Linked DNA regions of Arabidopsis thaliana. The protein of the gene in region 1 interacts with the protein of each later gene in a pairwise test. Each region holds a gene or a part of one and is shown in the gene's direction. Other genes may lie near its edges.

Region 1 (5,548 bases):
ATCTATACGATGTGTTTGTGAACATAAGAGATGATGAAGCAGAACACTGCAAGACAATGAGAGCTTGTCAGACTCTAGGCAGTCTGCGTTCTCCACACTCCATTTTAGAAGATGATGATACTGAAGAAGAATCAGGGTGTGTTGTTCCTGAGGAGGCTCATTGCGAAGGTATTGTAGACTGCCTCAAGAAATCCATTACAAGTTAATAAATTAGAAAGTAAACTAAAAAAGATTATTTGTATCAGCTCATGAACAATAGATATAATCCCATATACTTGGGAATAAAGGAATAATGTGAAATTCCCATCGTTGTGCTAGTGTGTGAGAGAATCAAATACCCTAATGATGTAAATGTACTTTGATGAGCTTAAGTCGTTGTAGACCATTTTATCCATACTACTAGCCTTTGTGGTTGCATTGTCGGTTTCTTCAATTCTTATTTCACAGGAGTAAAAAAAATGTTTAAAAGTACAAAATCATTGAATGTATCATTCTCTCAAAAAGCATATTGGTATTAGCGTTTAGAATCTCTATATCCCACACTTTTATTTTTATTGGTTTTGTTGGGGAGAGTGTGGCGCAAAGACGACGTCGTCTATGCGAACATTTCACGTGGGAAAAGCCTTGATTCATGCGCCTTCTTTAATTTTTCTTCTTTTTTTTTTTTTTTTTTTGTCTCTTCTTTGCCTTTCACTTTTTAAAATGATTTTCCGCGGGTTTAATAACAAAAATGTTTTCCCGCCAGAAAGGTTTTACCAAAAAACCATGTTCCGGTTATAGCACAGGTAAGAGAATTCATCAGTCTAGTATAATTAGCAGTAATCAAATTCGAATACTTTGATCGTCGCTTTTATTTCAGAGTTAGCGTTACATTAATAGTACCTTTATTCGATTGATGATTTGTTTAATCTTTAATAGGGTTTGAACTCCGATGGAGGACCTTTTTTGTTGGTAATATTCCCTTCGTTTCACAATATAAGTTGTTTTAACTAAAAATACGTATATTAAGAATATTTATTTTTAAAATGTTCAACCAATTATAAAAAAAACTGTAGAATATAAATAATCATAAAGTATTAAAATAATATATAATTTGCATAGAAACTTGAAAACAACTTATATTATAAAACAAAAAATTTGGTATAAAACAACTTATATTATGAAACGGAGGGAGTATAAACTTAAGTACTAATTCGATTTTGTTTCTATTCGAGACCTTGAAGACTTTTTTATTTAATTTTAAAACTAAGTCGTACAGTTACAGAAACAGCATTAAATTTTTCCTCTTAAGTAAATTTATTTTTTCTCTTTCTATCAGAAATTCAGAAGAACTAACATTATAGTTGCCCCCATTGCGTACACTGTACATCATTTCTCGGTAAATTACACATAATTATAAGTTGATTAACCTTTTAAGTTTTAAACAATGATGTAAGTAACTTATTAAAAATTGGTTTTTAAAAATTGAAAGTTATATACTCAAGTTGGAAAAATATTTTACAAATATACTCGATTCCACTACTACTGTAATTTTGTGTGGAATACCAGTCAAACAGAATCGTTATAACTGTTAAAAATTAGTAAAACTGTATAAAGTAATTTTAATTCGCGGGAAATCAATATTCGGAAGCAACTTTAACAAAAAAAATAAAGAAATGTGAAGAGAAAAAAAAAACTCTGAAAACTTCCTTTATAATGTCATCATCACTGCGAGACCCAAAGATCTAAACAGTTTCTCTCTCTCCCTCACAGGGCTCTCTCATGGCGGAGCTAATCTGTCTATTTCACTGGTGATTCTGTTTCACTATCTGAGAATTTGTTTAGAGTTTCCGTTACCGAGTCGATGATGAGTGAACTCGATCTCGGAACGAGTCAGAGGATGACGGAAACACACCGCACGACGACGACGTTTCTTGATTTGCTCCGACGACAGATGAGCGGTCACGATCTCACCAGAAGGAAACGGACGTTAAAAGAACGGTTGAGATTCAAATGCATCGGATGCTGTGGTCCAACCTGGAATCTCCGTCTAACTAACAACACCACTCTTCACAGTCCAACCTCAAGAGACGACGAAATCGAAGAGTTACAAATTGAAACCGGACTCGTTCTCGAATCGGATCATGGATCGGGTACGGGTATGAATCTCGCGACAGCGTTAGAAGCGGAGAGGTATAACCGTGGAGAATCGACGGAGGCGGAGGCAGATATGACGCCGAGGAGAGTTTCGTTGATGAGATTGTTGGAAGAGACGGCGGAGAAAATCGTTGATGACGACGGGAAAGAAACGGAGATATTAACGGCGTCTATTGGGACGTTAACGGGTAATGATTCGGTGTGTTGCGTGTGTATGGGAAGAAAGAAAGGCGCTGCGTTTATTCCATGTGGTCATACTTTTTGCAGAGTGTGCTCTAGAGAATTGTGGCTGAACCGTGGATCGTGTCCTCTTTGTAACCGTCCGATCATTGAGATACTCGATATTTTCTGAAAACGATCGGACGGCTAAAAGTTCTCGATCCACGTGAGTAAGTGAGGTGATCCCTAGATACGTTTCCAAAGTTTTAACTACGGTTTGTGTACTTTGTACGTTTCTTTTGGTTATTGAAGAAGATGATGTAAATGCAAAAAAGAATACAAGAGGTTTTTTGTTCACGAGGCCCATTTAGTCTATTCAAGCCCAGTAAACCGTTATTTTGGATTTTATCTAGCCTAAACAATGCTCGCCTCACACCGTCGAGTGGATTCTTGGCCGTTGATCTTGTCTCTCACGTGGCAGTATCGTAGTCGAATGTACATGATCTATGTGGAATAGTCGATATTATCCCTCTTGGTGTGAGTTTGGTAGTTGATGAAAGCAAAACATTTACGTAACAATGTCTATAAAATCAGTACAGGTCTATTCTTGTTCACTAGCTTCGAAATTTTAGTCGAAGAAACAAAAAAAAATGGCGACGGTACAATTGTCCACCCAATTTAGCTGCCAAACCAGAGTTTCAATCTCACCGAACTCTAAATCTATCTCCAAGCCTCCGTTTCTGGTACCGGTGACCTCAATTATTCACCGCCCGATGATCTCCACCGGAGGAATCGCTGTTTCCCCCCGTAGAGTTTTCAAAGTCCGAGCCACAGATACGGGAGAGATAGGATCAGCTCTATTGGCGGCGGAGGAAGCAATTGAAGACGTGGAAGAGACGGAGCGGCTAAAGAGATCGCTCGTGGATTCGTTGTACGGAACAGATCGAGGTTTAAGCGCATCGAGCGAAACCAGAGCTGAAATCGGAGATCTAATCACACAGCTCGAGTCTAAGAACCCTACTCCAGCTCCGACGGAAGCTCTTTTCCTTCTCAACGGCAAATGGATCCTCGCGTAAGTTTTTTTCCGGTGAAAACTTTCTCTTGTAGTCCTGTAGATAGCATCATTCGTAGGATTCTGGATTCAAATGGTAGATCTCGTGCTGCTTTTGATTTGGTTAAACCTCTTTTGCAGCTACACATCGTTCGTGAATTTGTTCCCGTTGCTATCACGAGGAATCGTACCGTTAATAAAAGTCGATGAGATCTCTCAAACCATTGATTCAGATAACTTCACCGTCCAGAACTCTGTTCGTTTCGCTGGTCCTTTAGGTACAAACTCGATTAGCACCAACGCTAAATTCGAAATCCGAAGCCCTAAACGCGTCCAGGTAAATTGACCATTCATCGACCATGATCTGATATCAACATCTTGAAACGTTTTCAGTAATGTTTTGGATTTCATTTTTCTTGCAGATTAAGTTTGAGCAAGGCGTAATTGGGACGCCTCAGCTAACGGATTCTATTGAGATACCGGAATATGTAGAGGTTCTTGGTCAAAAGATTGATCTTAACCCGATCAGAGGGTTACTTACCTCGGTGCAAGACACAGCCTCGTCTGTGGCTAGAACCATATCAAGCCAACCACCGTTGAAATTCTCTTTGCCGGCGGACAATGCGCAGTCTTGGCTACTCACGACTTATCTAGACAAAGACATTCGGATCTCTAGAGGAGACGGTGGAAGTGTCTTTGTGCTTATCAAAGAAGGAAGCCCTCTCTTGAATCCTTGAACTTGGTCAAAATATATGTCTCTCTCTTGTCGTTGTGTTAAGTGAGACAAATATATAGTGTGGTTGTAGGTTTACTTCTTAATCGTTGTTATTAACTCGATGATAAGGAATATAATGTTTTTAACTACTACAGAACATCTCGTCTATGGCCTATGAAATGTGTCTCAGATTTTCACAAAATTCAAGTGTTTTAGAATTTCATTCTCTTCTGTTTGATTTAGAAAGTAAACTATGTACCGATGCAAGAGTTACATGAGAATTATCCCGGCAACGTCGGGTCTTTCGATAAGAATCGAGATGATGACTGTCATTTTGTTGTCTAATTGGTTCACTCTGTGCTTGATGCCTATCATTTTTTTTTTGAGGGACTCAGTCACTGGAAATGGTTCTATTAGTATGGTATGGGATACTTGTTAGTATAGTACTCGAGGTTTCTAGCATATGCCATAGAGTTTCTCAATATCTGAAGCCCTATTTTGAATGTGTTTGTTCTTTCTGTAATTTATTTAGAGACCATCAGGTAAAGGAAAAACTCAATTCAGACAAGAACATAAGAAACCTAAATTGACCAAATTTCTCATATAACTGAAAGTTTGAAACTGTGTTTTGTTATGTACAGTTTGGTGGAGGGTTTGATGCGGAGAGCATGAATCAGAGCCAAAACTGAAAGTGGAGGAGACAATAATAATGATAACAATGAAGAATAATCTGTAAACTGAGTTTTATTACTTTCTTTTTCTTCTATGTCTCTCTTTATCATTGTAGCACATATTTGCTATATAGGATTTGAATGGTTGCAACGGTTAAGGCGGACAAATTCGTTTGCGGTTTGAACTGTTTTTTATTTATCATTCATATTTGTATAGGTGCGAATTTAAAAAAGAAAAAAAAAACCACTGCAGATTAACTACGGACTGTTTTTACATACAAATATAATTAGTTCGTAACGGTTTATTGCCCATTTTAAAAATAGAGCGGACTAAATCGCTGACGTATTTGTCCGCTCTAACTACCGTTAGTAATAATATAGTTTGTTGTCAAAAATACATTCTTTTGTTTAGGTTTGCAGATGATTTTTTTTATTTTCTATTACTATATTTTAGTCTTTTAGATGATAAATTCGCAATAAATTTGTAATCTGCCAAACTACTGAAAAAAGAGAAAATAATTGTGGTTTGTCTTAAAAGTCACTTGTTTTAAGACATATCATGTGCAGCCATGCAAAGTGTATCTCCCGAATCTTCTTCACTCATTAATGTTTTACAGTATTTTTATAAATTTTATCATGTTAAGTACAAAATAAAAATAAGAATGGTCCATTAGAATTACAGCATATAACAACAAGGACTAGTTCTCTTTTGTAATTTTGTAATTTTATGCAAACGTATAAAAGAAAAATAATCGTGTTTTATTTTTGGAAAGGAATTAAGTATTTCTGCCACCACCTAACAAACAGGGTCCATTT
Region 2 (6,838 bases), on another chromosome or scaffold:
TTATGTTTATGTGTATGCATATATAAGAATTACAATCATTACTTGAAAGACATTTTGATGGCATCTTGTATATCATCTGACCAGAAACTGTCATAAAAAATATATATATATAAATAAGCTATACCATTATATATGCTTATTTAAAAGGGAAAAATTTCTTTGTAATTTTTATTTTTTTTCGTTTAAGTATCTAAGGTAAGAAAAAATCAAAGGCTATAGAATTAAAGTTCTGTTGGAGCATATTTAGCTCCTCTTTGTTCATGCAAAAGACAAATTAAACAGCCTTCTCTTTTTATCTTTTGATTTTCGTTTGTTCTTTTCTTATATAAATGTGGTGAGAAGAAAATGCCAATTTGTTTTCAAAGAAAATGAATACCGCAGTATTGTATATATGTAGATTTTTAGACAAACCCATCTCAACAAGAATTATAATTAAAGGGATAATTTTCTTCTTTCAACAAATAAGAAAAATAAATTAAACCCAGTGTTTTTGTTTCATTTTTTCCCTTTGAAACAAAATATTCATTGTGGAATCAAAAACCTTGAAATTCAAGAGTTCCACATTTGAACAAAAGAAAGAAAAAAGCCATCGACTTTACCCATATATATGCCATAAGATCAACCACAGTTTCTTTCCATTAATTTGGAAGAAACTATTCCTTCGAGTTTCTTCAAATTTGTATTATTAGTTTTTTTTTTTGTATTGTACAATTTGATAAAAACATGATCTCCTGGCTCGATATCTACCATGTTGTTTCAGCAACTGTTCCTCTCTATGTCTCAATGACATTAGGTTTCCTCTCTGCAAGACATCTAAAGCTCTTCTCACCCGAACAATGCGCAGGCATCAACAAATTCGTGGCCAAATTCTCCATCCCTTTGCTTTCTTTTCAAATAATCTCTGAAAACAACCCCTTCAAGATGAGCCCTAAACTCATTCTCTCTGATATTCTCCAGAAATTCTTAGTCGTTGTTGTATTAGCCATGGTTTTAAGATTCTGGCATCCAACAGGAGGAAGAGGAGGAAAATTGGGTTGGGTCATAACCGGATTATCTATATCGGTGTTGCCAAATACTCTCATTCTTGGAATGCCAATCTTGAGTGCCATCTATGGAGATGAAGCTGCGAGCATCTTGGAGCAGATTGTTGTCTTGCAAAGCTTGATTTGGTACACCATCTTGCTCTTTTTGTTCGAGCTTAACGCCGCAAGGGCGTTACCATCTTCTGGAGCTTCCCTAGAACATACAGGTAACTAAAAATCATTCCGTTTTTTCGATAAAAAATGATTTACCCTAATTAAATCTTGGTTTCTTGTAAAACAAGGCAATGACCAGGAAGAGGCTAATATAGAGGACGAGCCAAAAGAAGAAGAGGACGAAGAAGAAGTAGCAATAGTGAGAACAAGATCTGTTGGAACTATGAAGATTCTATTGAAGGCTTGGAGAAAGCTTATAATCAATCCAAATACATACGCAACATTGATCGGAATCATTTGGGCTACTTTACATTTCAGGTGTGAAAACAAAACTCTCTTATATTTAACACTGCAATCATATCTTTTGTGATAAATCATCTTACACATCTAAAGATTCAATCTTTATCATCTTACATATTCAAACACTTCCTTTTCTCTTTTTCAAAAAGAAAAGCGATAATTTAGTAGTGAGTTTCCCCTATTTTAAGCTTTCTGTTTGATCATTTTTCGCATCTACAAATTCATTTTTTTTAATATTTTAAAATCGAAAAGTGATAGTCAAGTGATATTCCCAACTATTAAGATTAGCTTCTTTTTTTAATAGTTTGTATCAAATGTTACTCATGTTTTTATTTATTTTCTCCAATAGATTGGGATGGAATTTGCCTGAGATGATTGATAAATCAATACATTTATTATCTGATGGAGGCTTAGGAATGGCCATGTTCAGCTTAGGTAAGCTATATATCTATACAAAAAAAAAAAAAAAACTAAACTTTCATGATTGGAAATTAAATTTAATTTAACAAAAAATGAAACAGGTCTGTTCATGGCATCACAAAGTAGTATCATAGCATGTGGTACAAAAATGGCGATTATAACAATGCTGCTCAAGTTCGTATTAGGACCTGCTCTTATGATTGCTTCTGCGTATTGCATCAGATTAAAAAGTACTCTCTTCAAAGTAGCAATATTACAGGTGAAAATATTAAAATTAATAATCCGTTAATAATAAAATCTGTCATATATATGTTTTTGTCGATTGATTTATTGTGTTGTAGGCAGCATTGCCTCAAGGAGTAGTGCCATTTGTTTTTGCAAAAGAGTATAATCTTCACCCGGAGATCATTAGTACTGGGTAAATAAATATATTTCTTGATTTGATTTTTTTTTTTCCTTCTTCTTATTACAATTTTTTTGAAATTTATTTTTGTGGTTTTTATTGTTTTGCTTTTTCAGGGTGATATTTGGAATGCTAATTGCCTTACCAACAACTTTGGCATATTATTTTCTATTGGACCTATGAATATGACATGTTCAAAAAAAAAACATGTTTTATACGTAGGCTCTTAATTTTGGATTTTATATGGTATTTAATTTAGTCATAGTTTTTTAGATGTTGAAATTATAAAGCTAATAATGTCAACCATTCTCTTTAATTATTGTAAATCATTTTTCTCCTGATATTAAATTAGAAAAAAACATGTCAACTAGTAAAATCAAAATTTTGACTTATTCTTTTTAAAAAATAGGATAATAGATACTATATAGGAGTAAATATAAAAGAACACCATTTAAGAAAATTTAAATATCACATTAATAAGAACAATTCAGATGGTTAACTCTAAGAAAATAAATAGACATTGTCAAAGACTCAACAACAAAAAAAAAATTATATAAAAATAAATAAATTTTGGGGATGAAGAAAACTAGAGAGTACACGGCCTGCTTTGCTTGCCACGCAATGAAAAATGGAAAAAAGCCATAAAAAAATAAAATAAGAATACGAAAATCAAATAAAAAACATAAAAAAAATGCCTTGGAGAGAGGGGAATATATAATCAACGGTTGATAAAGAGGGACACCGACTCATGTCATATTAATCTAACGGCTGAGATATTTTTACTTGATAAGCAGGGAAATACAATATTATAATATAAATTAATTTAGGGTTACCCTTTCTTCTTCCCCTTATATACACAAACACCACACCTCATTTTCTCCAGAATCCTCCATTACTCTTCTTCTCGACTTCGGAATCTTTCAAAGCTTCTTCGATTTTTCCAGAGGCAATCATGGTTAAAGGTCCAGGACTCTACACTGAAATCGGCAAAAAGGCCAGAGGTACGATCTCTCTCTCTTTCTCTATGGTGACGCGAATGTGACTGTTGTTGACATTTCGTAAACATTTGAGCTCTTTTCTGATCTGGGTTTAGGTTGATATTCATTGAATCGGTTAGGGTTTCTCATTCCTGGTTTTATTCCGATTTCTATCGGTCACGCTTAGGTCGTTGAAATTTGAATAGATGCATAAAAAGTTAAATATTCGTGTTTTGTGAGCTGATTGATAATATCTGTGTTCGTTTCCGTCAGATTTATGCTATCCGTTTCGTTTATCTGTATAGATAGAATAACAAGACTGGTTCTCTGGGTTTCAATTTTTGGGTCACTCGTTGATTAGCTGGTTTTGAAATTTTTTATCTTGGATCTGGAAAATGTCTATCAAGGATACAGAGTAGTTGTCTCGTGTTGAACTTTTCTATTTGAGTTGAATCTGAAGGTTTTTGAATGCTATTGTAGATCTTCTGTACAGGGATTACCAAGGAGACCAGAAATTCAGTGTCACCACTTACTCTTCAACTGGTGTTGTAAGTTTTTATTATTGTTTTTATTTCTGTCAATTCTCTATTTTGTTGGTGCGATGGGTTTATTGTTAGTGATAAAATTGAGATTTGTCTAGTTTTCTGTTATGTCAAATTTGGTTGTACAGTTTGTTTTCATGTGTACTCTCACTTGACTCTTTCTTGTGTCGAATGGTGATAAATTTGTAGGCGATCACTACAACGGGAACAAACAAAGGAAGCTTGTTTTTGGGTGATGTTGCTACCCAAGTGAAGAACAACAACTTCACTGCTGATGTCAAAGTTTCCACTGATTCTTCTGTAAGTAGACTTTTTAGCTTTAGCTGTTTCTAGTAGATATATGATGTTGCCGATTGCTGCTGGAGTATTCAATTGATTTTTTTTTGTGTGTGAATAATTTCAGCTTTTGACCACTCTTACCTTTGATGAGCCTGCCCCTGGACTGAAAGTTATTGTTCAGGCTAAGTTGCCCGATCACAAATCTGGAAAGGTATATAACTCCACCAGCTTTCTTTTCTTTCTGTTCCGTTTTTTTAAAGGTTGGTATGTTGGAGATAACCATTATTTGTTGTTTTCTGAGCAGGCTGAGGTTCAGTATTTCCATGACTATGCTGGTATCTCTACCAGCGTTGGATTCACAGCTACCCCGATTGTCAACTTCTCCGGTGTGGTTGGAACCAATGGTTTGTCTCTTGGTACTGATGTGGCCTATAACACCGAATCTGGCAACTTCAAACATTTCAATGCTGGTTTCAACTTCACCAAGGATGATTTGACTGCTTCCCTCATTCTGTAAGTGCCTCCCTCCATATGAAATGATGACTTGAGATTTTAATGCTGCTGGTTTTAAAAGAGTTGTTTCTTAAACTGTTTTTTTTCAGGAATGACAAAGGTGAGAAATTGAATGCATCCTACTACCAGATTGTGAGCCCGTCGACTGTGGTTGGAGCTGAGATTAGCCACAACTTCACGACCAAAGAGAACGCCATCACTGTCGGAACTCAACACGCGCTTGACCCATTGACCACAGTGAAGGCAAGAGTGAACAATGCTGGTGTGGCTAACGCTCTGATCCAACATGAGTGGCGTCCAAAGTCGTTCTTCACCGTTTCTGGAGAGGTTGATTCTAAGGCGATCGATAAGAGTGCCAAGGTTGGGATTGCTCTCGCTCTCAAGCCCTGAGAAGATACCACCAAATGGGCCCTGAAGTGGGTAGAATAGGTGTTATTTCTTTTTCGTCTTCAAATCTTTGGACAAATCGCTGTCTGGTTTGCTAAACAATCTTTCATTTGTTTTTTTTGTTCGGTGTTGGGATTTGTAGAAAATAAAAGAGAAAAATACTATTGAAAGGATCGTCTTTGACGATAAAGAACCATTAAGATCGTTTTACTTGGCTCTCTCTCTTTTATTTTCCGCCTCTGCTACAATACTCTGTTCCATATCTTTTACTTGGTTCTCTCTTTTATTTTCTGCCTCTGCTATACTTTGTTCCATTTGGAGTTCCCTTAGTGGATTTTTCTATGAGGTTCTTCTTACATGTCTAATTAATTTTGTCTAGTTGGTCAGATTTTTATCTGAGGTTTAGCCAACAAGATAGGTACACCTTCAATAGCACCTGTACTGATTCTTACATAGAACCAAAAAGTCATCAGTTTTATTATTCTTCAAACCAAAGAACCAAAAGCAAGAGAAGTAGAACCTATTCCGATTAGAGCTTTGGACTGTATCGTGTTCATCAAAACCCCTTCTTTTCGAGCCAACACATCGATCATCTCGAAACCAACCTGAAAACAACACAAAGTTGTAGCATTGCCGAGATCAAATCCAGCAAATCAGTAAAAGAAAAAGATTGTGTCTTGTTCCATGATACTTGTTTCCTGGATTGCCCAACCCAACGATAAGCCAAGGAGTGTACTCTACTTTGAATCTATCATTCTGACCACCAGAAGTAGATGAACAAACACGATACCTCTGTTTCCGGGATACTGGCTTTTGCGTTTGAAAATGGTAGATACTTGGTGTTTTCAATTTATAAAGAGCATCAAAAATGTTTTCAATTTATAACTTTTCTATGCTTTCAGCAATGGAAGACAAAATCAGTTTTTTTTTTTTCCATTTGGATTTACCCTTCTCCATCGTACATTATTAATCAATTAAAGAGTTACCCTAACGTTGTTTAAAAATATCTCCTTGTTGCTTAAAAACGACGATAAAAGCTTGAGCCTTCTAGCTCTGTTCGTTTGTGGCCTATTTCCACCACGTAAGAGCTATGTAGTTGCTCCTTTAGGCTTTGGCGAAGGAATCTGATGTCGATAAGGCGAAGAACCATGAGGACTAGACAGTGTTCGAAACACGGGTTGGTGTTGCCCGTTTCTTGATCCAAATCCTTGGGATCGACCTGACCCATTTTTCAAACGTTCAGCTTGCATTGTCTGGAAGTAGTAAGAAGAGCTTGCCATGTCTTTCAGATGCGGAAGTGGTTTAAGTGCTTCCACAACATCACTCATCTTTGGCCTAATCTTGGGGTCACGGCTAAGACATTGTGCAGCAAGCTGAGTCACTTTTTGAGCACCTTTGATTGAAAAATGGCCCTCAAGCCTCGGATCAAGTAACCGGTAAAACCTTCTCTTGTCAAGAAGATGCGGTCTTGCCCATTCCACTAAGTTGTGCTCACCATTTGGGCGGTTTTTGTCCATAGATCGTCGTCCAGTCAACATTTCAAGTAGAACCACCCCAAAACTATAAACATCGCTCTTTGATGTCAAGTGACCTTAACAAGTTCAACAGGAAGCAAATCAACAAAGATGTAAACATTGAATGTTTTCAAGTTGAAGAAAATGGATGAAACCAAAGAGGACTCACCGGTCATTACATATTCGGGAGCAGCATAGCCATATGTACCCATAACCCTAGTAGAAACATGGGTTTTGCCTTCATCAGGAGCATCTTTGGCAAGTCCAAAATCTGATAGTTTTGCATTGTAGTCCTGACAATGGGATT
Region 3 (9,564 bases), on another chromosome or scaffold:
ACTCTAACATACGATACGTATATATCAAAGCTAACCTAAGCCATCACATGTTCTTAGCTCCCTCGGGAAGACAACCTACATCACTCACACCAACCGGTAATCAAGATCTATGGCGACCATTTGATGAGTGCTTGAATTCATGGAGCTTTATCTTTGCAATGATGCGGTTACGTATGACTTTCTCAGATTTAACAGCTTCTTGGATGTTACTATGCACAAGATCGCAAAGCTCATCTAAGGCCAACATAGGAAATGGTTCTTCTATAAGAACACCCACCTGCAGAGTTTCCAATCCAAAAAGAAGGTTTAATGGTTAAGGATTCAAGCAAAAGAGGGTAAGTATGGAGGAGGAGGAGGACAAAGTACTTCTTCTATGCAGAACAGAGAGGCAGCACTAATGAAAGTAGCAGGAACAACAATCCAATGGCATTCATCCCAGAGAATGATTGGGAGAGTTAGATGCCAAAAGACTAAAAACCTCGAGGTTAAGCGTGTGTAAGAGAGAGGAATCGGAATGCCCATGAGTTGTTCACAAACTCCAATTCCTTCATGTAAATGCAGCATCTTTGATTCCTGCAATGACGCAAAGAACATATATTGGTGTCAAGTGTTCATAGCAAAGAATTTTAATAGAGAGTTCAAGGATTCAAGAATGCTACCAACAAATCTCTCTTTGCATCGTCTAGTTTTAGCAACTGAATGCTCTGAGAAATGAACTCGATTACACAACGCGGACGATGCTTTGCTTGAAGAATCAGAGATAAGTCATCTGCTTCTATCAAGTTCCGGAGATCTCTTGCTATATCTGAACCATAAATCACATGACACTGCAAATGAAATTAAAGCATCAGAAACCAACAATAGAGTCAAGCAAGAGATGAATATTTTTTACCTTAAGAGCAACAGGGAAAGCTGCAATGTAACGAAGAAGCAAATCTTTGATGATCAATTCATCACCGGAGCTATCAACGGAACAAATAACTTGCCTAGCTAAATCATTAGTTCCAGCAATAATCCCAACCCAAGCTTTCCTTCCTTCTTCATACCTAGAATACGAAGCCTCCGTACGAAAGACCAGAAGAAGAGCCAAAGCCGGAGCTGTGAGCTGATACGGCAACGACGAGGATCGAAGAATTGGAAAAATACCAGGAAGCCAATCCAAAGCCACGGCGGAGTTGTAGCTAGCGATCACAACCGCGACGCTTGTGAAGAAGAAAACAGGTGGAATCAGGGAGAGTATAACTCGTGAAGAAAAGCTCGAGAGTAGATGACGCACATGGCGAAGAGAGCTTCTATGTTCAACCCATTTCTCGTGTGTGTAGAGAGAGCGTTTCTGCTGCATCCCACGCTCTTTAATCTCGTCTGCCCAATCTGGAACAGCTCTGAGGAGATGGATAAGCTTATCGGTTAAGGTTTCGTGACCTGAATCGTTGGATTCAGGACCAGATGAGACACGGGGAGGTTTGAGATTGACGGATTTGCGGAATCCGGTGGAGAATATAGGAAATCGTGATTCGAGGAGTGATCGGTGAGTGAAATTGGAAGAAACTGATAGATTCATGGATTGATACATTGGCGGGAAAATAAGGGGTTTTAGGTTTAGGGTTTGATAGAGACGAAGATGAAGAAGAGAAATGGTGGTTGACACATGAGGCTGCGTAAGGGTAGCAAATCGGAGGACTTCGAGAGGTGAAAAAACAAGTGATAGGAAAAAGGTAGTTGAAACGGTTGTTCCAGGATTGTTTACGTTCCACATTCAAACGTCGTCGTTTTAGGACAACATTGGGCTTTGATATGTTAAATACTGGGCTTAATTATTCTAAACGACGTTCGTTCCACGACAACATTGGACTTGGATCTGTTAAATGTTATTTTGTTTGAATATACTGGGCCTAATTATCCCACCGACGATTCGACTTCGATGTGTTTTTGTTTGATGTGTTAGATACTGGGCCTAATTATTCCTATCCGGCCCATAGAAGATTATAGCAAACAATTAATGTTCTTGTTGATCTTCTTCACTTCACTTCACATGACATGAGTACTAAACGTTCAGATTCTGTATTGTTGATAAACTCTTGGGTCCTAATGATTATTGTTTGTAGAGAAAAATGAAGATTTAAAGTGAACAGAACAGAGACAAGAACAATATTTACTCCACAAAATGGGAATTTATATTCATGTTATATGTCTCTTAATGCCAATATATAATCATTAGTCTCAAGTATTTATGGTAAAATAGAGTCTAAAGATAGATTGGGGGATTCATAAATTTTGAAAGCTTATGATGAAGTGGAAGCCAGTGAGGAACAAAGAAAGTCTTGACTAGATCACATCACTATTCTCTCACTCTCGACATCAGAAGCGTGAGATTCACTCTCTCATTCCCAATGCTTCGTTTGATACACGCACCTAATCTATAGCGTTGAGAATGAGCCACACAAAGATGATGATGATGATGGATGGATGGATCCCTCCTACAAATTGCTAGATGCTAGAAAGAAGTCTATTAGAGAGATAGAGAGAGAGCTTATATCACAGTCAAAAGTCAGAGACTTCAAATTTAATTTCGAATTTTGAAATCCTGCCTCATCATCCCATTGTATTGTAATCCACAGTAAATGCTTGGAGAAAGGATCTTTTTTTGTTTGTTTCTGTTTTCCCTCTGTCACCCAGTAAAAGAAAAAAAGCAACATCACATACACTCTGAAGAAAGAAAGAGAGAGAACCCTAGAAAACTTTTTTTTTTCTTCACCATTGTTGATTGATGGATGAGAAAGCTTATTCACACTTCATTTCTTTGCTTTTGGTGAGAGAATGAAACAGAGAAGAAGAGATGAAGAAAATTAAAGTTCTTTCCTTTTCTCTTTTGGATCTAATTTCATCTTGAGATTTTCTCATAGCTTGATACTAAAGCTACATAAAAAACAATTAGGTGAAATGAAAGTTTGTGTGTTTTGATAAGTTTTCAGAGATTTTCGGTTGCATGTTGTTATCTTGCTCTTGAAGTCTATCGAACCCTTTTAGATTCTGATTTTGTTCTCTTCTTATCCCTCCTCCTATAAGTTAGCCATTTAGGGTCCCCATCGAATTTTACTAAGTTAAAGTCAGAGTCTTTTTGGTTAAGCTATGGATCGAAGAGACGCAATGGCGTTATCCGGGTCGGGTTCTTACTATATCCAAAGAGGAATCCCCGGTTCTGGTCCTCCTCCTCCTCAAACTCAACCAACGTTTCACGGATCACAAGGATTTCATCATTTCACCAATTCCATCTCTCCTTTTGGGTCAAACCCAAACCCAAATCCAAACCCTGGAGGTGTCTCTACTGGATTCGTGTCTCCTCCTTTACCCGTTGACTCTTCTCCGGCTGATTCGTCAGCGGCGGCGGCGGGAGCTTTGGTTGCTCCTCCTTCAGGTGACACGTCTGTGAAGCGGAAGAGAGGACGGCCTAGAAAATATGGACAAGATGGTGGTTCTGTTTCGTTGGCATTGTCTCCTTCTATCTCCAACGTTTCCCCGAACTCTAACAAACGTGGCCGTGGAAGACCTCCTGGCTCCGGCAAGAAGCAACGGCTATCTTCCATTGGTAATATCCCTAATCTCTAACTTATGAGTTTTATTTTCCGACAAGGACATTGGCTCTGAATATGGTGGGAAGTTTTGAGCTTAATTGATGATATAGTTTTTCAAATGAGGACATTGGTGGGAAGTTTATTATAAGCTAATTCGAACTGTTAAGGATTAATTAAAGCTGTGGAATTTTATAATGTCAAATTGTTGAATTCAATATTTATTCTTTTATTATTCCTTGGCCTTTCTCTTAAACTTTGTTATTGCTCTGTTTCTCCCTGATTACAATTAGCTGTGATTTTTCTGAAGACATTTGATTCTTTTTTGTAAGGTGAAATGATGCCTTCATCAACTGGGATGAGCTTCACACCGCATGTAATCGTAGTTTCCATTGGTGAAGTATGTTTCTTCTGTCTCCTCTTGAATAAATCTGTTCTTTTTTTTCTTTGTAATCTTGCCTCTAGTTCTTGAGATAACCATACTCTCGGTGTTGCTTTCAGGACATTGCTTCAAAGGTTATATCGTTCTCGCATCAAGGTCCACGAGCGATATGTGTCTTATCCGCAAGTGGTGCTGTCTCTACTGCAACTCTTCTTCAGCCAGCACCTTCTCATGGAACTATTATATACGAGGTTTTATTGAATCATCACTCACATTTTATTATCTTTTAGAAGACAAAAACATTACTTATTTTGGTGTATACTTTGAAACTTATAGGGTCTATTCGAGCTCATATCTCTCTCAACTTCTTATCTGAACACAACTGACAATGACTACCCAAACCGCACTGGAAGTCTAGCGGTCTCACTTGCTAGCCCCGATGGTCGTGTCATTGGTGGTGGAATTGGAGGTCCTCTAATAGCAGCAAGCCAAGTCCAGGTGAGCTTACGCTTGTTATCAAATTCCTTAGATGAATTTAGATTTCTTATGCTTAACTATGTGTGTTTGCCTCCTTAAAAGGTCATTGTTGGCAGCTTCATTTGGGCAATTCCGAAAGGGAAGATTAAAAAACGTGAAGAAACTTCTGAAGATGTCCAAGATACTGATGCTTTGGAAAACAACAACGATAACACAGCAGCAACGTCACCTCCTGTTCCTCAGCAAAGTCAGAACATTGTTCAGACTCCTGTAGGCATTTGGTCAACTGGTTCAAGGTCAATGGATATGCATCACCCCCATATGGACATTGATCTAATGCGTGGATGATTCATGTATATATAAGCATTGAATCTAGGAGAAGAAGAAGAAACTTGAGCTAACCTCCCTGAAACAAAGTAGTCTATTGGTATTGTTTAGGAAAGAAAAAGACAATTAGTAAGTTTAGGAATTTCTGCGTGTTTTCGAGCTTTCAGTTAGTTGATTTGGTCTCTTGACTTGTTATGAATGGGAAAAAAAATTGCTTGTTTCTTATACGTTTTAGCATTCTACAGCATACAATCTGTTTTAGCAGGAAGTCGTCGGAAGAAATTAATAGGTCCAGGAGGTGTCTTACCCCTGAATCTTGGAGGTCTCATGATGTATAGTCCGGCGAGAAGAACAAAAACCTTAAACGGCACAACATACAAAACGACAGTAGAAACCAAACAAAGCACCATGAAGATCGAAGTTGCTCTTGGATCTCTCCAGCTTAACAGAGCCTGAACTCGTTCTCCTTGACCTGCTATATCTCCCACAACCGTTTGAGCTCTACTAGCGATACTCCTTAACCGCTCGTACCGCATTTTTACAATCCCCGGGTCTTGAGACGAAAAAGGGAAGGTATCGAACTCTTCGTTAAGCTCTTCCGGGTGGATATTGTCTGCAAATGATAGTCTTGTGTCCATGTGTGGAGGTTGTCTTGGACGGAGCCTGTAGTTCCATACCCCAAGCATGAACAAGCAAAGAGACATCACTGGAAGAATCATCTCCGGCGAACACACTAACACCAAGAAGATTATATGAATAGCTGTAGTTTCTACCGGTTTCTTCCACCTGCAGATATCTTGAAACCATTCTCCGGTTCCTAGTAAACCAGAGAAAACAGAACTCAATCTGAAGAGATTTGCACGGCTCTTCCTCATGCTCCATAAATGCGAATTTGAATCCGAAATGTATTCAACTACTTCTTTTCTAAGTGGCGGCTCGGCTCTACTTAACCGAGCTGCCACTAAGTTAACCGCATGCTGCCTAAGAATCTCCTGCTGCACTACTTTCAACGGTCTTGCGTAATGCATCTTGGGAAGAAGCGGTTTCCAGTACTGCATTAGCATCTGAAACATCGATGAGCAGGAAAACCTAATCGCTAAATGCAACTCCCCCATTTTCTTTAAACCTGAAGGTCGAAGAACAAGAAGCGGATACGAGTGACTGTAGATCCTTCCGGCTTCGAGAGTCGAGATTCTAACTCTGATTTTCCCAATTTTCCCATCTCCTTTGTTACCATTACCACTATTGATCTGATTGTTATCGAAAACACCGATTGTTATTACAGTTGCTGGCTCATAAACCTCCCATGTGTACTGCTCATTGAACCGCGGGTTTAAACAGTTCGTAACGGTTCGAGTCCTGACCCATTTGGTTCCATACTTAGCTACACAATAAGCATCCACCGTCTCCTTCTTCCCTTCTTGGCTCAAATTCAAACCTTCAATTCTCAAGATTCCTAATTCAAGAACACCAAAAGACGGTTGTTTATGACTCAACAACTCTTTCATCGACGGTCTGAAATCGCTGCTGTAGTAAGTAGATTCATCAAGAACGTGGTAGCCTCCTTCTAGACAAACGTTTAGATGAAGTCTCGTCGTCGCGAATCTGACTCTTCTCTGGTTCTCAGTTTTAAGACTAAACCAACGGTTAGGCACTGTCCGGTTATCGTCAATCCGTTTATCAATTGTACCAATCGGTATATGTACCTCTCCCAGCGTTTCCTCTCGGTTAGGTGCGACTCGGTCTTCAATCGAGATGATCAGATCTTCAAACGGTTCAGCCGCGACGAGAGTGAACTCTTCGTTCCATCTTGGATTCAGCGAGTGACTCGGTTTGGTTCGAACCACTTGGTTATTCAACCGGATTTTTACATATGGATTTGGCAATCGAGTCCGGTCTGGTACAATAACTAAGTCTTGTGCCTCGATGACATTAACCCGGAGGTACCAAAGCCTTGGAGAATGATAGACTTTAGAACGCAAACTCGATTTGTTAACAGCGTTTAAAGCGTCTGAGTATGTCGCGTCTGAGAACGCTTCGTCGGCTTGAGTACCGAACCAAACAGCCAACATAATCTCGCCTCCTTTCTCGTTGTTGACTCTGTACCATTCTGGAGCTAAAGGACTGTCTGGTGCGACACGTGTCGGAATCTGATTGAGATCGAACCGGATTAAACCGACGAAATCGTCTTTGACCATGTCTTTGTCCATGACGATGACTTCAAGAACGTTTGATTGTTGATTGGATTTGGAGAAAGCGAAGACTTCGTTCCAAACCGGGTTTTGATTCTTCTCAAAATGTTTGGTTTTGCCGGTATAGTTTCCGAGTTTGACTTCGATGTATGGATCTAGACTTCCGGTTAAGTCCATGGATGGAAGATTTCTAGCTTTCACGATTTTGATGAAGAGAAACTCCATTGGCTCGACGAGATCATGATCACTTGATCTTGCTCGTTTGCCTCCTCCGAGAATCGGTTTCGTCTCTTTGATAGAATAATCCGGTGGATTCGGATTAAACCCCATAGTTGTAGGTATCGGAGTACCAAACCTCGGTGCTTGATAGAGAGAAGACTCCATCATCGGTGGCGGTAGAGCCGTTTGCGATTGAGGCGGAGGCGGTTGCGGTTGAAACGATTGCTGATTCCCTCGTGGGCTATGGTTACTCTCATTTGTGGGGATGTTGTGAAATTTGTGCCTTGATTTAGAAGGAATCTTCTTTGTAGAGATTAGATTCGGTACCTTGGGAGAGGGGTTATCAGTGAGGAAAACTTTGAGAGCGAGCTCACCTCCATTGGCGGCAGCGGAAGAGAACATGCTCCATTTCTCTTTCTCTAGAGGATAAGGCAATCCAACAGCTTCTGAGTACGGGAGAAACGCAGTTCCCAATATTCGAATCTTACCTAGACAAGATTTTGTTATGCTGCTGGTTTTATTGTAAACGTAAGCGTCAAGAAATTGATTTGATAAATCCTCTGTATCAGAGATGTTGAAGAAGAACTTCTCGTTCCACACCGGACTAGAGTCATCGATCTTAGTCATAGTTATGACTTTCTGATCGTCAAATCGTAGCTCGACGTAAGCGTTAACACCGCCATAGTCCTCTCTAGGTTTGAGCCTTGCGCTTATGACTTCAACGCCAAGTTTCAGATTACTCATCATTTTTACTTAAAAAATTTCTGAAGAAAACAGAGCAGAGGTTTTTGAAAGTTTCTTCTACACTTATGAGATCGTGGAGACTTGTCTTACAAGACAACTAGGCAAATGTTTTTTTGGGGGAATTTTGTAATGTAATTAAACGTTGACCGTATTTAATTAGGGTCACGCAACGCGCTTATCTGTTATTAATCGTGACGCCAATCATCAGAATTCTTTTGATTATGAATTTATATGATATTAAATAAAAACATTATTTGTCAACAAGTAAGATTGGGGATAATGCAAGGGCTTATTAGGTACATTGTCGTATTTAAATCCAAAATTAGTAAAATTGCGTGGTAGGGTTTTCAGAAAATGTCATGTATGTTATCAGAAAAAAAAAAAGACATGAAATTTGTTAAAACCTCAAGCAAAAAAAATCTATCTATCGAATTCGCTTGGTAGGTTTTTTCTCACAACTATCTATCGAAAATTATTTTGCAGATAAATAAATTGAATACCTTCCACAAATTGGCTATTTACTGTAAATATATATATATATATATATATATATATATTTTGGGCAAATGCCTAATTTTACAATGTAAACTCGTAATTTTTGGGGTCAATTATGCAATGCTTCTTTAACTTGTAACTAATTTATTTCATTTACATTAGCACCAACGAACCAAGGTTCCAATTATTTTCCCTGCATTGTTTAAATGATAAATTGATAATATTTATGTGAAAATCGGACGTCTAACCAATAATGATAGTTAACAGAAAAGAATTAATGATATCATATTCATTTGTTAAAAAAACAAACAAAGTTGGTGCTTATATGACGACTGACATAAAGTTTTAAACATTTAATATTGTTATACCACTTGCATTACTCCCGGGTGAATTGTACTTACTTTCTTTGTTGAAATGTCTTGTTTTGGGCCTCCCAATACTCATTGGTCCACTTCTCAACCTTTCTCTCCGCACTTTCTTGTTTCTCAAGAAACCTCTTCAGCTCATCATCTCTATAAGGCCGCGGCAAATCACAAGCCGATTTAACGCTTGGAGACATAACCAATGAGTCGTCCATGCACTGCCTGATCAGGCCACCGTCAGTGATCGGACAAGCCATCGTCTCCGAACACACTTCGGTTGCATTTTCAGGCACAGTCACATCCAACTTCATTAGTTTCCCGTACCCTTGCAACACATACAACATGTAATCATACACATACTTCATCTCTAGGTTCTTCATAATGTAATCACTTCCCTGTCTCCCTATAACTTGCGCCTATATATATAGATTTCAAACGATTATCGATGATTGAAATAGATATAAGATCTTGGATACTATATATATAATTATATAGATGTTGCTTACCTTCTTAGTGTTGTTGTTACCCCATTCCACGGCGAACTTGAGATCACCACATTTCTCGTGAGATTTAATGGGCCAGTAATGTTCTAACGGAACCAAACTTCTTCCGAAGAAATCGAAGTACTCGGCTTTGATCAGTAGAGTCATACTGTCGCATGCTAGTATGTATTTTTTGCTCACCGACCATGCTCGACCTTCTATGTAGATCTTGTACCTTAATGTCCAATTCCAAATCCCCAAATCAACAAAGATTTAACAAAATCCAAAAAAGTTTAAACATGAATAGTATGAGAT
Region 4 (7,234 bases), on another chromosome or scaffold:
TACCCTACTTTTTAACCCATTGATTAAGCCATTTATCAATGAGAAAAAGAGATTCTCATGTGATGCAGTGATGCTAACAAAAAGTTTACATACTAATTTATACTAAAAAATTATGACGCTAATATAAGTTTATGTACTAAATTATACCGAAATATTATGTATAATAAATTATTAGAATGCAGGAAATAAAAGAATCACTGACAACTTAACAAGTAACAACAGCTCCAATATGCCACGATTATGTAATTCGTGTGTCATATATATGTTTCTTCTCGTTAAAGTTAAAGATATATAGGTGTGACCTCAGGTCTCAAAAGTGAAGCCCAGCTTCTAATATAAATATTTCTAGTTTATTTTCTTCGTTTTGAAAAAAGAAAACACATATTCATAATATATTGAAAATAATATCGTTTTATAACATAAGTAAACAATCAACAAGCAATTGTTGGCCGTAAAAGATTTATCGATGGGGTTGTTGAAACCTTTTTTAATTCATAAACTTGTAAAGGTTTAATATGGCAAAGTTGGTGAAACCCAAGTGGGACTATCTAACATTGCACCTAAGCATGCTGAATTGATCCTTTCTACATTTCTTTTCATCTGTCTTGACTCTTGATTAACGTTTGAAAATCTTTTTTTAACTTTGTTGTCAAATATGATTAGCGACTTTATTTTTACCTTTTTTTTTTATCATGACCTATATCTCGTTCTAAATTACACCTTTAATTAGCAAAATGGTAGGAATATGCGAAAAAATACATAACTAAAAAATGGCAAATTTCTTTCTACCAGTTTCATGCCATATCGAAAAGAGAATGGCATGTTTGTCTAAATTCACCTATCAGATCAATTGTTTCTCAAACCTTTACGTACAATTTGTTTTCCTAACGTTAACATAGCTAGCATGCGCAGTGCGCACGATGATCTGAGAAAACAAAAAAGATTTGGTGGGATTTTAACTTTGATTAATGGATAAGATATATCGTTCAATTTTATAAAATAAAATTATAAGAAATTCAACCATTTGTAGCATATGATTAACGTATATGGAAATCTCTAAAATGGAAGAACTAATTAAGGGGTTCGATTTCAAATTTTCGGTAGTGCTTTTCTCTTACCACCAGGTTTAGGTTCGCTTTTGTTTCAAACCAAAACAACTCATTTTATCTTGAAAAGAATTAACATTTTTCTACAATTCTTTTTCTAAGTCTATAGTTGATAGTTTTTTTTCACCACAGACCAACCCAAAGAGTACCAAAGTACGATAGGAAAAATAAAGTCATAGTTAATTACTTAGATTGGTAAGAATATTTCCAAACCTAAACAAATCAAACCGAGACCAAACCAGTGAAAATGGATTATAAAAATATTTGTACTATTGACTTTATTTCTTGTTGACAAAATTGACTTCATATTAACTTAGAAGATGCACGTGTTACATGTTCACGTTAGTATTGAAGGTTCTACGTCTTTGCAAAATGTGAATAAAGTAACCAAGTCCCACTAATACGGCACGTGAACCTTGTTATTTTCAATTATCTCGTTTGCTTCTCTTTTGGCTACAAGAGTCTCTGATGGTAAGCTTCGTTTCGTAATACGTAAAAAGGTAAAATTGTATTACCATTTGTGGGGGTTTTTGTTTGTTGGTCAAGGAAAATTGTGGTTTTTATGTTTTAGTTTTTTGTCCTCACCACAAATGATAATATTTTTATACTGAGTGGTACTTTATCGAAAAATGATAATAGACATGTTCGTTTCCATCAACCACAATTAAATGTTGTTTATATGTGTCGATAAATTGTACGAGTCTGTGACCAAAATTTTCATGTCAACCCATTTAAAATCTGACAACATATAACAAGAAGTACAAAACGAACAAAACTAATATGCAAGATCAGCTTTTGGTTGCAATCGACAATAAATGCCAAACGAATATGTTTAATTGCGTTTGATAAATGATCGTACAAATTCAGAAAGGGGTGATCTAACCAAAATTCAAGAAACAAAACATACAATATTACAACAAAATTTACCTGAATCTTTAACAAGTGTTCAGAATTTAGTTTTAAATCTTGATGAGATTATGAAACTATGAACATTTCGGAATAATTCCAGTTAAAAATCATATATAAAGGCAAACAAAAATTCACGATTTTCCCCAAATGTTTTCCGAATTCGTGCAAAATTGTGCTATTTCCTTTTAATAACATAGTATCATTGTATTTTTTTTAATAACATAACATATGATAAATAACATTATTTGTTTGTTTCACCTTAATTTGGTATAGTTTTTTGGGAGTCTCCATGTACTTTCCCTCGGCCCTTGCCAGTGTTTTGTATTTCAAAGTGAATTATATCAGTGAGAAGTGAAAACCAAATCATTAGTGAACAAAAAAAAGAAAGATAAAAAAACTTGATTAAGCATGATAAAAATTGGGTCTATTGGGCCTGCCTTTACGGCCCAAATAAAACCCACGATAAAATCGAACTTCCCGCTAAATGAAAAAATAAGAATCACTTCTTATTTCTAAAAACATAAAACAAAAAATAAAATAAAATGATTTCTCTACCACTCACTACACCGATTTTACCCAGCCGGTGTCTTCTCCACAAAACCCGCCGGCAAAACTCGACTCGCCGCCGCTTATTGATTCGATCATCATCGAGCTTACAAGACCAATTCACCGTGGAGACGACGAAGCGAGTGGTTCTTGTGAGACATGGACAGAGCACGTGGAACGAAGAAGGGAGGATTCAAGGAAGCTCCGATTTCTCCGTTTTGACGAAGAAAGGCGAGTCTCAGGCTGAAATTTCTCGTCAGATGCTTATCGACGACTCCTTCGATGTCTGCTTCACCAGGTCCTGCATTTTCTTATTATATCTATTGAATCGGTATTTGAAATCTAGTCACTTGGATTTGGATTTTACATCGAATTGATGAAATTGACTATGAAGAATCAGAGATACAGATTATGATAGTAATCACTGCAATTTTTTTGTTCTTGTTCTTTGTGATGGAGATTTTTGTTGTTAAAGCCTTTTTGTAAATTTGGCTGCATTTGTTGTTGTTATACATTGTGATCATCAGTCCATTGAAGAGATCAAAGAAAACAGCTGAAATCATATGGGGAAGTAGAGAAAGTGAGATGATTTTCGATTACGATCTCAGAGAAATCGATCTCTACTCTTTTCAAGTAAGTGTAGCTGTGATAGGGAGATATAGATTCACATAGAACAGTTATCGTAGTTGTTCTTAACTCTTGTTCTAGTTGATGGTTATATACTAGGGTCTACTTAAGAAAGAAGGGAAAGAGAAGTTTGGGGAAGCTTTTAAGCAATGGCAAGAAGATCCGGCGAACTTTATCATCGATGGTCATTATCCCGTAAGAGAGTTATGGTCACGTGCTAGAAGCTGTTGGCCTGGTATTCTTGCTCATGAGAGCAAGTCTGTTCTCGTTGTTGCTCATAATGCTGTTAATCAGGCTCTTCTGGCAACAGCAATTGGTAACTTGTTCTTTTTTCTTCTTTTAGCGACTAGCCGATTTTTCATTTCTCTGTTAAGTTTTTTTTAAGTCTGTGGTTTTTGGTTGATATGTTAGGACTGGGAACAGAATATTTTAGGAGTTTGTTGCAGAGCAATTGTGGTGTAAGTGTATTGGACTTCATACCAAGAGCTGACGGTGGATCTCCTCACGTATGTCTTAATCGACTAAATCAGGTAAGCTGACCTTCTTTTTTTGATGAAACACGAAAGTCATAAGTCATAAGCATGTTAGTTATATGAACTTTTTTTTTGTTGTTGCAAGATTCTTGAGTTGGGTGTAAAATGTTAGAGGTAGTCAAAATTCTGCTTACTGTCTTTGTAGTACTAATGCAGACACCTAATTCGCCTCTAGCTGGTGGAAGTTCTGGTGGCCGGAAAGCTAGTAAGCAGATTATACTTGTCTGCCATGGTCAGGGGAATAATGAGGTATAGTTGTATGAATCCCTTACATGGTTCTCTTAATTAATCTTTATTTGCCAGAATTAACCTCCATGGATGCGCTTGGAAGGTGTTTAGCTCTTTACACAAATTTCTGACCTAAGAAAAGTTTGGAGGCTTTAGGTCAAATTTTACCTGATTTTCTTTGTTTTTCAACATCTCAGGATTCTGCTGTTATTAACCAAGCAGCTAATAATGATCAGGCAATGAACATGCTTGGTGTGATACATGTAACATTAACATATGACTTTTGTGAAGGACAATTGTAAAAAAGTTCTTAATCCTGCATTTAGTTTACTCTTCAAATATACTTGTTGATTATTGCAGTCACAGAAAACCGCAGAGCTTCTACTTGATCTAAGGGTTAGTTCAATAGTTTGCAGCCCTAAAACAGCCTCCATTGAGTCTTCTGGAGTAATATCCCGGGTAAGTTATATAACTCTCTATATACTAGCTTCATTTTTCTTAAAAAACTGAAGACTTTAAGAAATCTATTTCTTCGGAATCTTGTTTTTTTTTCTCTTAACAGTTTAAAGACTTGATAGGTGCAAGAAGCTGCGGGTTGTTTAGGTGTAGATAATGTGCCTCACTACGTGAAAACGAAACAAATGAATGAGCTTGATGTTGAGAGTGTTCTTCGCAAATCCAATAAGGCAAGATAACTTATCCCGATGCAATCAATAGTAAAGTGAACACTGTTTTGATATTTTTGGTCCATCAATTCTGCAGGACAATGATGTGATTGCAAGTCAATTAGACGAAGAAGCGTTTTCAGCTCTGTGGAACAGATCCGAGAAAGCATGGGAATCACTCTTAGACGAACTATCGGATGAGAAGTCAAACCCTGGAGAAATCATGGTGGTGGTTGGTCCTGCAATGACTCACATTTCACTCATAGCACAATGCCTTAACCTCACTAAAGAAGCGCTCGGGTTGTTTCACCTAGACGCAGGTAGCATCAGTGTCATAGATTTCCCGGATGGTCCTAGTAGCAAAGGAGTAATCCGTTGCACAAACTACACCGCTCATCTTGGAAGATGGTCCATCCCTATCACAAAACCCGCCTGAAGAATCTTGTCTTAAACCCCGATAAAGTTACGGTAATGTTATTTTTAGCAATTTTTTGCATAAGATATAGTTTGGAATTCAACAAAACCATACAAAGACATCATAACAGAATTCCACAAAATCAAAATGCAAGTTCAATCTCTAGGAATGCTAATATCGGTCTGATCGTAGCTAGATAGCCCCACCTAAAAGTCTTTCTAACAGTCAACAACGTATACGATTTGACAGTTAGACGGCCTTGGGAATGCAAGGAGATCCCTTAATAAGTGAACCAAACTTCGTTTCTGCATGTAATCGCTCAAATGAACAACAAGTTTCTTGAGAACTACCGAGTTCTCTACAAAGTACCTTTTGCCACTTCATCAGGCCTCCCCTTGAATCTGCTTTTTATCTCTACAAACTCGAGGGATGACAACTAACATTGAGGCACAGACGAGAAACTTATTGGAGCCATACGTGGAAAATCCTACAAAGGAGTAACACCGCTCATCTTGGAAGATGGTCCATCCCCATCACAAGACCTGCCTGAAGAATCTTTTCCTAAATCCCGGCAAAATTACGGTAATGTATAGCAATTTTTTGCATGAAAAATAGTTTGGAATTCAACATCATCATCTGACCCTGAGAGCTTTGTCCAAAGTATATATAAATACAAAGACATGATAACAGAATTCAACAAAATCAAAATCCAAGTCCAATCTCTAGGAGTGCTAGTCTCGGTCATAGCACCACCTAAAAGTCTTTCTAACAGTCACTCAAATGCACAACAAGTTTCTTGAGAACTACCGAGTTCTCTACAAAGTACCTTGCCACTTTAACTCACAATGGCACCATAATAGGATTCAGCAACATCAAAATAGTCTAAGAAAACACGGCCGGTTATTTTGTTTTTGCGAAAACAAAGAGCATGGCCGTTTAGCGCATTAAAGACTTCGATCTGACACATGCTAGATCGCCTCGGCAATTCAAGGATATCCTTCAAGACAGCTTGATTTCCTCGTCTTAGAAAGGAAGATGCCAAACGCAGAACAACTTTCTGTAGATTCACAGAGTTCTCTACAAAGTACCTTGCAACTTCCAATGCACCATCATCTACCGAGATTCTGTTTTTTATCTCTACAAACTCCAGCGATGACAACAAACACTCAGGCACAGACGAGACTCTCCTTTCTACCGTAGCTTTCGTACGATCAACTATACAAGTTGTTTCCTACAATATACATAAGATGAATATAATATAAACTAGATATATAACAAGATCATTTCTCTAACTACAAGATTAATTTGGAAGTTGGTGCAAGTCATTACCAAGACGATGGATTTTAGATTCGGACAGCTTTCAAGAAGCTTTGGCAGGATGTCCAGGAAGTCAAAGGATGATAACCAAACACTTGCTTTCAAATAGGACAAGTTGCCAAACTGTGGCAATGAATCTTCTTTCAAGTAGGAACTGATGACCTGCTTGCAAAAAAAGAAACGAAGAGAAGACAATGGGTTAGCAAAAGTTCTATATAGGATTATATATACAATATGAAGTTCATAAAAACATACCTCCATCATATCTTCAGAGACGATGAGATACCTAACTCTTGAGATGCCCGTGAGAAACTTATGGGCCATTTGTTGCTCCGTACAGCCCACTACCCTTGAAATCTTTATGGGGCCAAGAATAGTGACCTTAACTAAGGAACCTAAATTGCTTATGGTTTTACTTTTCGATTGGTCATTGTTGAAAGTCAAATACTTGAGTCTAGGGGCATCAATCACAAGTCCCGAGTTCCCTCTATCTCTATCATAATAATAATATATCTCACCAGGATAATATGATTTATATCCTACACTTAGACTGGTTAATGATTGAGAATGCACTCGTAAAAACCTTACGTTATCATCTATCTTAACAATGGTCAAATCTTCGAGAACGCGGCAAGACGAGATAAGCGACTCCAGACTCGCCTCATTAGAATATACATTTTCTTCTAAACACATGCTCTTGAGACTAGGTAAAGAATCAACAGACTGATCAAAGTTACCCAACAATACCCGATAGAGTCTCAAGTGAAGGAGCGTCTTACAGATATAGAGGCTTAGGGGCATCATTTCCCAAAACTCACGCTCCATTACGCGACCACCAAACTCAACATCAAGATGCTGAAGTTTACCCCTAGCCACACAGTCTGTCCA

Evidence for each region.
Region 2: the proteins of AT4G22240 (region 1) and VDAC3 interact in a two-hybrid assay, tested with the Arabidopsis thaliana proteins (one large-scale study listed by BioGRID).
Region 3: the proteins of AT4G22240 (region 1) and AT3G61310 interact in a two-hybrid assay, tested with the Arabidopsis thaliana proteins (one large-scale study listed by BioGRID).
Region 4: the proteins of AT4G22240 (region 1) and AT5G22620 interact in a two-hybrid assay, tested with the Arabidopsis thaliana proteins (one large-scale study listed by BioGRID).

What each region holds. Positions count from the first base shown.
Region 1 is NC_003075.7:11,764,625-11,770,172, reverse strand, and holds AT4G22240 (Plastid-lipid associated protein PAP / fibrillin family protein), read left to right. Parts: upstream 1-2,750; 5' UTR 2,751-2,945; coding exon 2,946-3,367; intron 3,368-3,487; coding exon 3,488-3,683; intron 3,684-3,768; coding exon 3,769-4,083; 3' UTR 4,084-4,370; downstream 4,371-5,548. Other genes in the region: IM (Alternative oxidase family protein), read left to right, coding at 1-206; AT4G22250 (RING/U-box superfamily protein), read left to right, coding at 1,844-2,488. UniProt on the Arabidopsis thaliana protein: Probably involved in light/cold stress-related jasmonate (JA) biosynthesis.
Region 2 is NC_003076.8:4,887,823-4,894,660, reverse strand, and holds VDAC3 (voltage dependent anion channel 3), read left to right. Parts: upstream 1-3,057; 5' UTR 3,058-3,271; coding exon 3,272-3,320; intron 3,321-3,776; coding exon 3,777-3,844; intron 3,845-4,027; coding exon 4,028-4,138; intron 4,139-4,241; coding exon 4,242-4,328; intron 4,329-4,421; coding exon 4,422-4,630; intron 4,631-4,719; coding exon 4,720-5,020; 3' UTR 5,021-5,138; exon of another isoform or gene 5,139-5,368; intron 5,369-5,490; 3' UTR 5,491-5,697; downstream 5,698-6,838. Other genes in the region: PIN8 (Auxin efflux carrier family protein), read left to right, coding at 724-1,249, 1,325-1,514, 1,846-1,931, 2,018-2,175, 2,258-2,334, 2,436-2,502; AT5G15080 (Protein kinase superfamily protein), read right to left, coding at 6,106-6,608, 6,701-6,824. UniProt on the Arabidopsis thaliana protein: Forms a channel through the mitochondrial outer membrane that allows diffusion of small hydrophilic molecules. The channel adopts an open conformation at low or zero membrane potential and a closed conformation at potentials above 30-40 mV.
Region 3 is NC_003074.8:22,686,011-22,695,574, reverse strand, and holds AT3G61310 (AT hook motif DNA-binding family protein), read left to right. Parts: upstream 1-2,424; 5' UTR 2,425-3,129; coding exon 3,130-3,586; intron 3,587-3,901; coding exon 3,902-3,969; intron 3,970-4,070; coding exon 4,071-4,202; intron 4,203-4,287; coding exon 4,288-4,449; intron 4,450-4,530; coding exon 4,531-4,776; 3' UTR 4,777-4,994; coding exon of another isoform or gene 4,995-7,913; 3' UTR 7,914-7,965; downstream 7,966-9,564. Other genes in the region: AT3G61320 (Bestrophin-like protein), read right to left, coding at 101-277, 367-573, 660-827, 893-1,756; AT3G61300 (C2 calcium/lipid-binding plant phosphoribosyltransferase family protein), read right to left, coding at 4,995-7,913; AT3G61290 (O-glucosyltransferase rumi-like protein (DUF821)), read right to left, coding at 8,803-9,183, 9,274-9,484. UniProt on the Arabidopsis thaliana protein: Transcription factor that specifically binds AT-rich DNA sequences related to the nuclear matrix attachment regions (MARs).
Region 4 is NC_003076.8:7,515,547-7,522,780, reverse strand, and holds AT5G22620 (phosphoglycerate/bisphosphoglycerate mutase family protein), read left to right. Parts: upstream 1-2,499; 5' UTR 2,500-2,557; coding exon 2,558-2,859; intron 2,860-3,088; coding exon 3,089-3,194; intron 3,195-3,287; coding exon 3,288-3,504; intron 3,505-3,599; coding exon 3,600-3,718; intron 3,719-3,877; coding exon 3,878-3,970; intron 3,971-4,146; coding exon 4,147-4,212; intron 4,213-4,309; coding exon 4,310-4,408; intron 4,409-4,527; coding exon 4,528-4,635; intron 4,636-4,711; coding exon 4,712-5,050; 3' UTR 5,051-5,082; exon of another isoform or gene 5,083-5,278; 3' UTR 5,279-5,552; downstream 5,553-7,234. Other genes in the region: AT5G22610 (F-box/RNI-like/FBD-like domains-containing protein), read right to left, coding at 5,865-6,260, 6,359-6,508, 6,602-7,234. UniProt on the Arabidopsis thaliana protein: Phosphoglycerate mutase-like protein lacking PGM activity, but having 2-carboxy-D-arabinitol 1-phosphate (CA1P) phosphatase activity.